3 linked regions of the Caenorhabditis elegans genome follow. The protein of the gene in region 3 purifies or fractionates together with the protein of the main gene of each other region. This does not show direct contact. Each region holds a gene or a part of one and is shown on either strand. Other genes may lie near its edges.

Region 1 (3,768 bases), 4.3 Mb from region 3:
ACCAGTAAAGAGCACAAAGCGAGTCCCATAAGTGCAATTATGGCCTTCAAAATTCGTCGGTTCCGTTTTTCTTCGCGTTCGGCTGAAATATTTTTGCGTGAATATTTTTCCAGAAAAATTGTGACGTCAGCGGGCTCTTAACCATGCAAAACCAGATGAGATGCCTGCGTCTCAGCTCCCGCATTTTTTCGAAGATCAAATCGAAATAAGACATTATGACTCCATGGAGGGGGGGGGGAGTTACCGTACCTGTTTCTGGATATTCATCCGGAATCCGACTCAGCGGAGCCATAAACTTTGGTTCGAGGATTTTGATCAGTTGGTCCATGGATTTTACAGTTTTTGGTTTTGCAGAACCCGTCTCTGATGAGTTGAAGATTATCTGAAAAATTCGGTGATTTCGGCATATTCTTAAATTGCAAATTAAATTTTCCACGAGTTTTCAGTGTAAAAGGTTCTAAAACCTTGCACTAGAGGAGAACTACACTTTTTTTGGTAGAGCTCACTTGCATTTTGTGATTTTTCAAATAAAATTTTTACCTTTGCGGTGAAAGCCAAATCTTCATCAGTTTGGGACAAAGTTGGGTACTTTTCGATCTGAAATTCGAATTTAAAAAAGTGATCCGACATCTCGGCAACTCACATTCAAAACCCCAAAACTTTGACGTCCCCACTCAGGATCACACTTCAATTTTTGGCTGGTATGTCTGAAAAAAACCCCTTTTTATCAGAATATAAAAAAAGGTCCATGAGGCCAAGACAATTCTCCGAAGAAATTTCAAGCCTACTTTTTGATAACCAGAATGAAGTCGGCTCGCATCTTTGATCTATCGACACCTCCGATGAATTCGCAAATACTTCCGTTCTCATGAACGAATATTTGCGGAGATTTCACCTGATGCTTTGCAATGTACAAGGCAATCTGGAAAAACCAAACATTTAAAAATTCGTGACTTGCGCGTGAAATCTGATGCATAATGTGACCATGTACTCACGTAGGGCAAGGTTGTCCCATCACGGTTTGATCTACAAAAAAATGCGGAAATTTTTCGCCCAAAAAAAATGTGACGTCAGCACGTTCTTAACCATGCAAAATCAGTTGAGAACTCTGCGTCTCTTTTCCCGCATTTTTTGTAGATCTACGCAGATCAAGCCGAAAGGAGACACTCTGGCATCACGTATGTACCGCACACTTTCCGATGCACCATGTCTGACAAGATTTCAAATATTACCCCGTCAATTGTCTTTTGCCAGGCGACATCAGTGTCCTTCCCCATCACGACCATCTTAATTGCACCTGAACCGGAAAGTGAACCACTTTGAGAATGACATGGGCTGGAAATTAAACTTTTAAGAAATAGAACTAGAACTTGACAGAAAAGTCTGGAATTTCTCACGAAGAGATCTGAAACATTGGAATTTCCACTCTTCCAACTCACCTTATAGCCAAGAACAGTAAGAAACCAATGGATATGATCATTACTGAACAACGAATCGATTTGATTTCACAATGATTGATTTTTTGGATTAATTATTGCTTTCTTTAATTTCAAATGTTGAATATTTGCCAAATGGCAAACGGTCACGTTTTGTTTTATTTTTCGGAGTTTTATTTTTCAAGTACAAAACAATATCGATTAATTAATTTTTCTAGATTTTAATTAATTATTTTATTTATGATAAAATTCCATGAGTTTCAACGAAATACTTCTTGAACTTTTTCAGAAAAAAACTAAATTTAAAACTCGCGCGCATTTTCTTGCAGGTACACTTTTGCGTACATTACGTATGAGGCATTTCATCTGACGCACAATAGTTTTATTTATTTTTTCTTAGGCATTTTTATGGGAAATTTCGATGTTATATTCGATTTACATCTGATTTTAATTTTAAAAATTGAATTTTTGAAAAATTTCAGAATGATTCGCCGCGAGAATCGTCTTCGCCGCGAGTTTATCTTCCGAAAATCGTTGGAGGAGAAACAGAAAAGTTTGGAGGAAAAACGAGAGAAAATTCGCAATGCTTTGGAGAATAATACGTTAGTTTTTTTGCTTTTATATGTTGAAAAATTCGTAATATACGAATATTTTCAGAAAAATCGATTATAATCTGCGAAAAGACGCAATCGAATTGGCGAAAGGCTCCGATTGGGGAGGACAGGTAATTTTCGCGATTTTTGATGAAGTTTCAATAATTTTTGTTCAGCAATACGAAACAGACAGCGAGTATCGTTGGGCTGGAGCTCAAGATCCAAAAATTGTGATCACGACGTCCCGTGATCCATCAAGTCGGCTGAAAATGTTCGCCAAGGAGATGAAGCTCATCTTTCCAAACGCACAGAGAATCAATCGTGGTCATTATGATGTTAAGCAAGTTGTGCAAGCGTCCAAGGCTCAAGATGTTAGTGGAAAATTGAATATTTGAAATTTTATCAGCTTTTCAGTAATTTTCTAATATGAAATTAATTTTTCAGTCAACGGATCTGATTATCTTCACGGAGACACGTGGAAATCCAGATGGAATGCTTGTTTGTCATCTTCCATTCGGTCCAACTGCATTCTTTTCAATGGCAAATGTCGTAATGCGACACGATATTCCAAATTGTGGAACAATGTCCGAACAGTATCCACATTTGATTTTCGACAATTTAAATTCGAAATTGGGACATCGTTTCACCACAATCCTCAAACACTTGTTCCCGGTGCCAAAACCGGATTCAAAGCGAATCATCACATTTTCCAATTCAGAAGATTACATCAGTTTCAGACATCACGTCTATAAAACTGAAAATGACGGAGAAGTCGAACTGACTGAAGCTGGACCAAGATTTGAGCTCAAACGTAAGAAAATTTTGATAAAAGAGCGGAAATTGAAACAATTATGGGCATTTTCTATTTTATCGAAGCACAATTTTGCGCTGAAATTAAACACTAAGCGAGAAATATGAAATATTCACATTTCAAAGTATTTTGATTTTTTTTTTAATTTCCAAATTTTCAGCCTACCAAATCAAGCTGGGAACTCTCGAGACTCTGGCGGCTGCCGAAGACGAATGGGTGCTCAGATCCTACACAAATACTGCCCGTAAACGTACATTCCTCAGCATCTCCAGAGCTGATGACGACGAATGAAAATATTTTGTTCTCTAAAAATGTTTTGTTGATTTTTATTGTTTTCTCCTTGAAATTGTTTTTGTTTCGTTCATGAAATTAATTTTTATTCGAAAAAAGATTTTTAGAATTTTTGATTCAAAAATTACAGAACATTTAAAAATTGTCGAAATAATAACAACCATTGTTTAGCTCACGGCGGCAGGACATGGGGACGGGCGGCGGGAAAATATTATGAATTCAAAGATCAAAGCCTGTCAAGACAGTTTCAAATTTAAAACAGTTCTGGAATAACGGACACTAATTACTGCATGAATCATCAACCACCACCAGTGAGCCGTGTCGGTTGGGACGATCAAAAGATTATGAGAACAAGAAGAGAATTGGATTCGGTGAAGGCCATTATGAAGGAGAATGTGCAAAAAATCATGGAGAGACAGGGAAAACTTGATGATCTTGTTGAAAGAGCTCAGAGGCTCGAGGAGGCATCGGATGTGTACGTCAAATGCGCCGTCAAGATAAAACGAGAGATGAGCTGGAAGGCCAATTCTCTTCGCTACGGGATCATTGCTGTGTCAAGTGTCTCCGCATTTGCAGGACTTGCCTATTCGTTCCTATAAATCATTTCTCTATCAAAACTATTTATTGGCATTACGCT
Region 2 (4,747 bases), on a different chromosome or scaffold from region 3:
GTTAAATTTTCCATTTTTTGGCCAAAAATCGTATTTCCAATGGAATTTTCACAGAAAAAGCCCCGAAATCATTTAAATTCCCAAAGTTTTGGCCAAAATTCATAAATTTTCACCAAAAAAAAAGCCCAAAACTCGAATTTTGGGTCAAATTTAGCCGTTTTCAATGGAATTTTCCCACAAAAAACCGCAAAATTAGTAAATTTGTCAGCTTTTCAGTCAAAATTCGACATTTTTCAAGGCATTTTCTCTAACACCGAAATCGGTCAATTTTCCTGTTTTTGGCTCAAAATTCGTCGATTTTCACTCAAAATGTGCCAAAACCTTTAATTTGTCAGCTTTTCAGTCAAAATTCGACTATTTCCAAGGCATTTTCTCCAAAAGTGTTCAAAATTGGGTTTTGGATGAAATTTTCACTCAACAGCACCAAAATTAGGTAAATTTAACAGTTTTTGTAGACAAAAATCATCAATTTTTGAAATTTCCGGTTAAAACTGTCCAAAACTTGAGTTTTGTGTGAAATTTCCCAATTTTTCAGTCAAAATTCGGCAAAATATGCCGATTTCCTGATTTTTGGGTCAAAATTCGTCAATTTTGACTACAAAAACGCCCAAAACACGGGTTTTGTGTGGAATTTACAGAGACAAGTGCAATCAATCTGTCAATTTTCTCGTTTTTCAGCCGAAATTGATCAATTCGAATGGAATTTTCACGGAAAACGTGCTAACATCCTGGTTTTTGGCCAAAATTCCACAATTTTTATGGAATTTTCACTTAAAAAAAAGCAAAAATCAGCGAATTTTCCAGATTTTAGCTCAAAATCAACCGTTTTTCGTCATTTTTTCGATCAAAAAAACCTACCAAATATCCGTCATAATCACGAATATGAATCTGCAAAAGACTCAAATCTCTCAAAATCTGCAAATTGTCCTTTTCCAGCATCAAGGCCCGTTTGTAGGCCTTAATTGCCTCATCGTACTTCTTTTCAGTCTTTTGAATTAGTCCAAATACGTGCCAGCAGACATATGAACGGAGATCCGATACAAGTCCACGACGAACACAATCTTGAGCTTCTTGAAGTTTTCCCATACAATTTAGGATTAAACCCTTCATTGCGAGCGTTTCTGCAAGAAAAATGAGTGAAATTGGAGTAAAAATTGACGAAAATCGGTGAAAATCCAATTTTTTGGATAAAAAATGAAGAAAAATCGGTCCAAAATTGGCAAAAAACGGTTAAAATCGATTTTGTAAGTAAATTTTGGGCAAAAAAACAATTTCCTGAGACTTTTTGTGAAAAATCTGGAAAAATGGTCTAAATTTGGCGAAAATCGATTTAAATTCATTTTTTACGGGAATTTTGTGCCAAAAGCCAATTTTTTGGGGCCAAAAAGAAGAAAAACCGATCCAAAATTGGCAAAAACCGGTTTAAAATTCATTTTTTTCGAATGTTTTCCACTGAAATCCGGTCATTTTCGCTGAGAAATTCGATTTTCCCACAGTATATTTTGATATTTTTAACAGAAAAATCGAATTTCCCATGCAATTTAGGATTAAACCCTTCATTGCGAGCGTTTCTGCAAGAAAAATGGGCGAAATTGGGGGGTAAAAATCACGAAAATTGGTCAAAATTTGGCGAAAATCGGTTAAAAATCAATTTTTATAGTGAATTTTGTGCCAAAAACCAATTTTTAAGTCAAAAAATGAGGAAAAATGGGCAAAAAATCATTTTTTGAATTAATTTTGTGCCGAAAAAATCCAATTTTTCGAGATTTTTTTTTCGAAAAATCTGGAAAAATGGTCCAAATTTGGCGAAAATCGATTTAAATTCATTTTTTTAGGTGAATTTTATGACAAAAACCGATTTTTCGGGTCTAAAATGAAGAAAAATGGGTCAAAACCCGGCGAAAATCGATTAAAACCCAATTTTTAAAGTTAATTTCGTGCGAAAAACCAATTTTTTGAGTCAAAAATGAGGAAAAATGGGCCAAAATTCATTTTTTAATTAATTTTGTGCGGAAAAATCCAATTTTTTTGAGATTTTTTTGTGAAAAATCTGGGGAAAATGGTCCGAATTCCGCGAAAATCGGTTAAAATCGATTTTGTAAGTACATTTTGGGCCAAAAATAGCTCAAAATTAGGAAAAAACGGTCCAAAATCGGCCAAAATAGGCTCAAAATTCATTTTTTTAAGTACATTTCGGGCCAAAAATCCAATTTTTGAGTCAAAAATGTAGAAAAATCGGTTCAAAATTCATTTTTCAAGTAAATTTTGTGCCGAAATCACCATTTTTCGAATGTTTTCCACCGAAATTCAGCCGTTTTCGCTAAGAAATTCGATTTTTAACAGAAACATCGAATTTCCCATGCAATTTAGAATTAATCCCTTCATTGCCAGCGTTTCTTTGAGAAAATTGAGATTTTTATGGGAAAAATGGTCCAAATTCGGCGAAAATCGGTTAAAAACCAGGTTTTTGGACAAATTTCGCGTCAAAATTCGTTATTTTTGCGAAAAATCTGGAAAAACGGTCCAAAATTCATAGAAATTCAAATTTTGAGTCAAAATTATTGAAAAATCGGCTCAAAATCAAATTTTTGGGATATTTTGCACCCGATTTCACAAAAATCTGGCGAAATTCTTAATTTTCGGGGGTTTCTCCTGTAATTTGGCTGGAAAATGAGTTTTTCCGGATAAAATTTGCATAAAATGGCGATTTTACTCGAATTTTTAGCTGAAAAACCGAATTTCCACTCAAAAACCCGTGAAAATCCAGTTTTTCGCATCATTTTTTCAGATTTTCCGGTCCAGCAGTACCTCCATGCTCGGCAAAGCCGGGACTCGTCAAAATCTTCTGCGCAAACTTCAAACCCGCTTTGTACTGCTTCTGCTCGTAGCTTTTCTGCAAAAATTGAGTGATTTTTCGGTTTTTTCAGCAAAATTCGAGTTAAATACCACGATTTTCTTGAAATAACCGAGCTCTTTGGCTGGCAACGGCTGGCTGCTCGATTGTCCTGGTGGTGTCGGCATTTTTACCTGAAAATTTGGATTTTTGAGGTGAAAGTCGGTGAGGAAACGTGAAAAGAGCACGAAAACGAGAAGAAAATCGATTTTTTGAGCCTAAAAACGATTAAATTCCGCGAAAAAATGAATTTTGGCCTAAAATGTAGGGTTTCCGGGGGTTTTAAGGCATGAAAAACTCGATTTTGACAGTTTTAATAGCAGAAAACCACTGAAAAAGCAAAAAAATCAGTAAAAAACGCTGAAAATCTAAGAAAACAAAATTGTCCCGCCGAACAAATCGGTGTTTTCCGCCAAAAAACTGCCAAATCTCCGAAATTCCGTGTGCCCCGTGGCAAATTAAAGGCGCGGAACACGTTTTTCCACGTTTTAACACGAAAAACGTGTATTTTTTGGGAAAAAACGTCGAAAATCCATCGAAAATAGTGTAAAATTGATGAGAAATTCTGGGAAATGAGCAGTGAGTCCGCAAACACCGCCACGCACAAATGCACAGTTTTCGTCCTCTGGCGCGCGCACTCTCCTCGTTTTGCACGCTCTCTCGCTGGGCTTCAAGTGAAATTTCTTGGAAAACCGTCTGAAAATACAGAAAATATCTGAAAAAATCTGAAATTAGCTGAAAAATCTGAAAAATCATCGAAAATAATGCTAAAATGTTATAAAAATTGGGAAAAACCTGGACAAACCCATATTTTCAAACAAACACCATGACGCAAAAATGCACAATGAGCCGAAAATTGAATTTTCAGCTGAAAAAGCCTTGAAAATCCAACAAATTGCAGTTTATTCAATGAAAAAGCACATAAAATATCAATTCGGGGGTCATCAGGTACGGCGGATTTTGCGGCTGAACACACGTTTTTCGTGGCGAAGTGAGAAGGCGGCGTTGTCGATGGGATTTTCCAGATTGTAGGTGCAAAGGCAGACTTGGGCGAGGCCTCTGAAGCTTAATGAGTTGAGAAAAAGTCTAAAAACGAGGGGAAATCTAAAAAACCGTGGAAAATTGACTGAATATCGAGAAAAATAGGCCAGAACTCTGATTTTTTAGCCAAAAATTCGAATTTCCCGCTTTTTTAGGACTTACGTGAAGCGGGGGTTGCGTTGGAAGCAGATTGGGGCACTTCCCGGCATGCAGCTCTGACAGATCTGGAAAAACCCAAAAAAAAATCCAAAGTTTTCGATATTTTCGCTTCGAGACCCGAAATTTGACAAAAAGTCGTAATATTTTGTCTTAAGCTCGTCACACAGGCAAAGCGGGTACGGTCCGTTTACGGATCTTGGACCGGGAACGGACCATTAACGTGCGAACTACGGATATGAAAAGCGGGACGGACCAATTACGGGCAAACTACGGGGAATGTAAAAAATGGCCATTAAGAGGAAAAAATGGATTTTAAGAAAACGAATTTTTTAAAATACCTATGATACCAGTTGGCTAATTCAAGCATTTTTACGTCGTTAAATGCATTATTCAGAGCAAAAACCACATTTACCGACCGAGATGGCTCTTGAGCCGTAGTTGGGCCGTTTCCGGTCCGTAGACGGTCCGTCGACGGCCCGTAGACGGACCGTAAATGAACCGTCCCGGGCACCAAATTTTTGTTTTTGAAAATTTCAGGTTCTAGCACGGAAAAAGTGCTCAAATTAGCCAAAGGAGAGTGTAGGCACTTCAAAAACTCCATTTTCATGAACAATTTTTTCGTATTATCCTCCGTTTTGGTGATCATCCGTAGTT
Region 3 (3,622 bases):
AGCCTTTGAGAAAAAAAAAACATACCTCCTCATCTTCTTCGTCCATTTCAATTTCTTCCTCGTCTTCCTCATCTTCTTCATCTTCCTCAACAGCAACAGACTTTTTGACCTGCGGAGCGTCATCATCAGATTCTTCCTCCTCCTCATCATCGTCCTCTTCGTCATCGTCAGAATCTTCAGCAGCCGTAGCAATGGCACTCTTAGCAGTTTTCTTTGGTGGTTGTGGCTCCTCATCACTCTCCTCCTCATCTTCTTCGTCTTCACCAGAATCGTCTTCTACTGGTTTTGTTTGTTTTGCAAACGGAGTTCCGGTGGCAAGCTTTTTCTTCGGGACTTCTGGAATATTGAATAATTGCAAATAAATCTAAAATCAGCACTATACCCTCTTCCTCGTCGTCATCTCCATCACTATCATACTGTTTTCTCTTATCGCTAAAACCAACTCGGCTGCCTCCCCCACGAGATTGGAAGTTTCCTCTTCCTCCGCGCGGTGAGAAATCGTTTCCACCGCGTCCACGAGGTGTGAAGCCACCACGACCGCCTCCTCTAGGGGAGAACTTATTGCCACCACGGGACCCTCCAGAGAAATCTCCTCGACCGCGATTAGCTACACCACGATCTCCTCCTCGCCATGGAGAGCCACCACGATCACCTCCACGGAAGTTGCCGCGGTCTCCTCCACGCCATGGAGATCCTCCACGATCTCCACCTCGGAATCCACCACGGTCACCACCTCGGAAGCCTCCACCACGTCCTCTTGGGGAGAATCCACCTTCACGATCACCACGGAATCCTCCTGGTGAGCGACCTCTATCTCCTCCTCGGAATCCGCTTGATGAACGTCCTCTATCGCCTCCACGGAATCCGCCTGGAGAACGTCCTCTATCTCCACCTCGGAATCCACCACCGCCACCACGTGGGGTGAAGCCACTGCCACCACCACGACCACCGCGGAAGCCTCCGCCTCCGCGTCCTCTTGGTGAGTCGAAACCCATTTTGATTGTACCTGAAATAAATAAAATAAAGTTAGGAAGTCCTAATTAGAGTTAAATCAGGAAATAACAGCGACCAAATGTGTTGTAATGATATATTTCGATATTTTATGCATTATAGTAATTTTTAAGCAGAAAATTTCTTCAAAAAACGTAGAAAAGCGATTTATTTCAGTGATAAACATGAAAAAGTACACAAAGAGAATGTTTCTAAATTCGAAATTCATCGATAAGCGGGCGCAGGTCTCGCCACGATCTCTCGAATAAATGCATGCGCCTTTAAACGTTAATTTTCTTGCTGGCGGCAGCCGGCTTGCAACGGCTTTCAACAATTCGACAAATCAATAAAAACTGGATTTTCCGTACATTTCTTTTTGTTTGTTATCAAAACCGTTTGAACTGTCAATTATACACTTTTTAGAATTCGTTTTCATCAATTAGAATGTTTGTTCGTATTTATATTGCGTGATATTCTTTTAAAATTGAACAAAATAGTTTAATATAAATATTTTATTTGCAAAACTCTGTCATTTGCGATACATAGTTCTTTCCTAATTGTTTTAGTAAAAACTTAAGTTTCACGTGCCACCTTATCCACGTTTCTATTTCTACGGTGTATTGCCCCTCGGCGAATTCGAGTTATAACTTTTTTACAAGCTCGTATATTGCAAATCCTCCATTAATCTCTATTTTTTTCTCCTTTTGCATTCGCTTCCGAATTTTTTGTGCCGTTTACTCAACTGCTCTATCTTTGCAGCAGGATGAACATTCGTTGTGCTCGCGTGGACGATTTGATGAGCATGCAAAATGCGAATCTTATGTGCCTTCCAGAGAATTATCAAATGAAATACTACTTCTATCACGCTCTTTCTTGGCCGCAGCTCTCTTATATTGCTGAAGATCACAAGGTATTTTTTATTCTCATGCAAATCTTGACTTGAAACATTTATTGTTGTTCAGGGAAATGTTGTTGGATATGTTCTCGCCAAAATGGAAGAAGACCCAGGAGAGGAGCCACATGGTCATATCACCTCTTTGGCCGTCAAAAGATCTTACAGACGTCTGGGATTGGCTAATAAAATGATGGATCAGACCGCAAGAGCCATGGTCGAAACCTACAACGCTAAATACGTATCGCTTCATGTTCGTGTATCAAACCGAGCCGCATTGAATCTATACAAGAACACACTGAAATTCGAAATTGTGGATACAGAGCCAAAGTAAGTATTAATTTGAATAAATCCTCATTTCTCGGCGCGGATTAGTTCGTCCCTCGATGAACAACTGAAAAAATTCTAATCGACGTTTCCCAATCACCCGTTCGATTTCCAACGTTATACTTTTTACAGAAGTGATGGAATTAAATAATTTTGTATTCTTTTTTGGTTCACCTATTTTTAATTTTTGTTCCAAGTCAAGTTCAAATTGAAAAAGGTTATTGTGATTATCAGTGAAAGGACAAAATGTTTCGAAAAATAATTACGTTTAATAACGTGGCGCTTTTTTAAAACAATAAACAAAAATATGCGAGCGAGGTGATTAAACTTTGGCATCAATCAGAAGAAACATACTTCAATTTGCAAATTATGATAACTTTTAGAACCTTATTAACCCTAATTATTAACAAAAATGACAAATTCCAGATATTACGCGGATGGAGAAGATGCATACGCTATGCGTCGCGATCTCGCAAAATGGGCAGAAGAACGGAACATCGAGCCAGCAGATCGAGAGGCCTATACCACTGCAAAAACCACTGACGATAAAAAGAAAAATCGCAGTTAATTCGTTATCAAAGTTTATTTTTGCCTTTTCCAACTGGTTCATTCTGATACTTTCTCTGTTCTCCCCTTTCAGGAGGATCTCTTTTCTTTCAATTCTCGTTTCCTCCTCTGGTTTTAGATTAGGTAAAAATTTAAGTTTTCCCCTGAATAATCTCTTTGATCCCCCTTTGAAAGCTCATTAATAAATTTAAAGCATTAAAATGGTTTGTAGATGTTATAAGCAGTTGATTTCTGTATTCAAATATCTGTAAATATTTATTTCGACCTTTAAAGTTAATGTTTTAGATGAAAGGTGGCGGTGGAATAGGGGATGGCAAAAAGGACTATCAATCAGCTGTTCATGAAGTAAGTTTTTATTAAAAACTCTGTTATTCCTTTTAATAGTTTTGAGTGATTCAGATGAAATATAGATTTTAAATCTAAATTTTTCAGGGATTAACAACATTCGATCAATTGGGAATTGCACTTGAAGATGTCGGTAAATCAATGGACGCAGAAACAGCTACACCAGGAGGAAGTTTATTTTCCAGAGTTATGTAAGTGATTCGGTTATTCTCGAAAAAAAACTCATTGTTGAAAATGTAGCACTATTTTCTAACATTTCAACAAATAAAATTCTGGCTCACTACCGAGTTCGTATTTTCAACATTGAACAGACACATGGAATTGTTTTCAAAAATCATTCGGTCTCACACATTATGGAGGGAGAAACAGTTTAACCTCAACGCAAATCCGATTTGGTCGAATCGTTTCATCGCCTCTCCCTCTGCTCTCATAAAACAAATAGATTGAGAGTGGTGTTACACGAGTTTTCCATACCAAATGAGATCCTTTTTGACAGGTCGG

Evidence for each region.
Region 1: the proteins of daf-31 (region 3) and ZK795.3 fractionate together in Caenorhabditis elegans (co-fractionation; one large-scale study listed by BioGRID). This does not show direct contact.
Region 2: the proteins of daf-31 (region 3) and hpo-29 fractionate together in Caenorhabditis elegans (co-fractionation; one large-scale study listed by BioGRID). This does not show direct contact.

The regions. Positions count from the first base shown.
Region 1 is NC_003282.8:12,557,447-12,561,214, forward strand, and holds ZK795.3 (Brix domain-containing protein ZK795.3), read left to right. Parts: upstream 1-1,918; 5' UTR 1,919-1,919; coding exon 1,920-2,038; intron 2,039-2,093; coding exon 2,094-2,160; intron 2,161-2,205; coding exon 2,206-2,400; intron 2,401-2,473; coding exon 2,474-2,840; intron 2,841-3,000; coding exon 3,001-3,131; 3' UTR 3,132-3,226; downstream 3,227-3,768. Other genes in the region: ZK795.2 (DsbC domain-containing protein), read right to left, coding at 1-82, 250-382, 541-597, 644-707, 789-922, 1,233-1,335, 1,440-1,480; snb-7 (V-SNARE coiled-coil homology domain-containing protein), read left to right, coding at 3,422-3,730.
Region 2 is NC_003281.10:234,124-238,870, reverse strand, and holds the start of hpo-29 (N-alpha-acetyltransferase 16, NatA auxiliary subunit), read right to left. Parts: upstream 3,028-4,747; 5' UTR 3,022-3,027; coding exon 2,947-3,021; intron 2,894-2,946; coding exon 2,809-2,893; intron 1,122-2,808; coding exon 859-1,121; intron 1-858. Other genes in the region: hpo-38 (DUF19 domain-containing protein), read right to left, coding at 3,838-3,952, 4,097-4,158.
Region 3 is NC_003282.8:8,288,524-8,292,145, forward strand, and holds daf-31 (N-alpha-acetyltransferase daf-31), read left to right. Parts: upstream 1-1,749; 5' UTR 1,750-1,753; coding exon 1,754-1,900; intron 1,901-1,952; coding exon 1,953-2,212; intron 2,213-2,635; coding exon 2,636-2,777; 3' UTR 2,778-2,973; downstream 2,974-3,622. Other genes in the region: nucl-1 (Nucleolin homolog 1), read right to left, coding at 26-336, 383-995; K07H8.2 (SLC41A/MgtE integral membrane domain-containing protein), read left to right, coding at 3,062-3,121, 3,209-3,312. UniProt on the Caenorhabditis elegans protein: Catalytic subunit of the N-terminal acetyltransferase A (NatA) complex which displays alpha (N-terminal) acetyltransferase activity. Plays a role in regulating larval development, metabolism and longevity.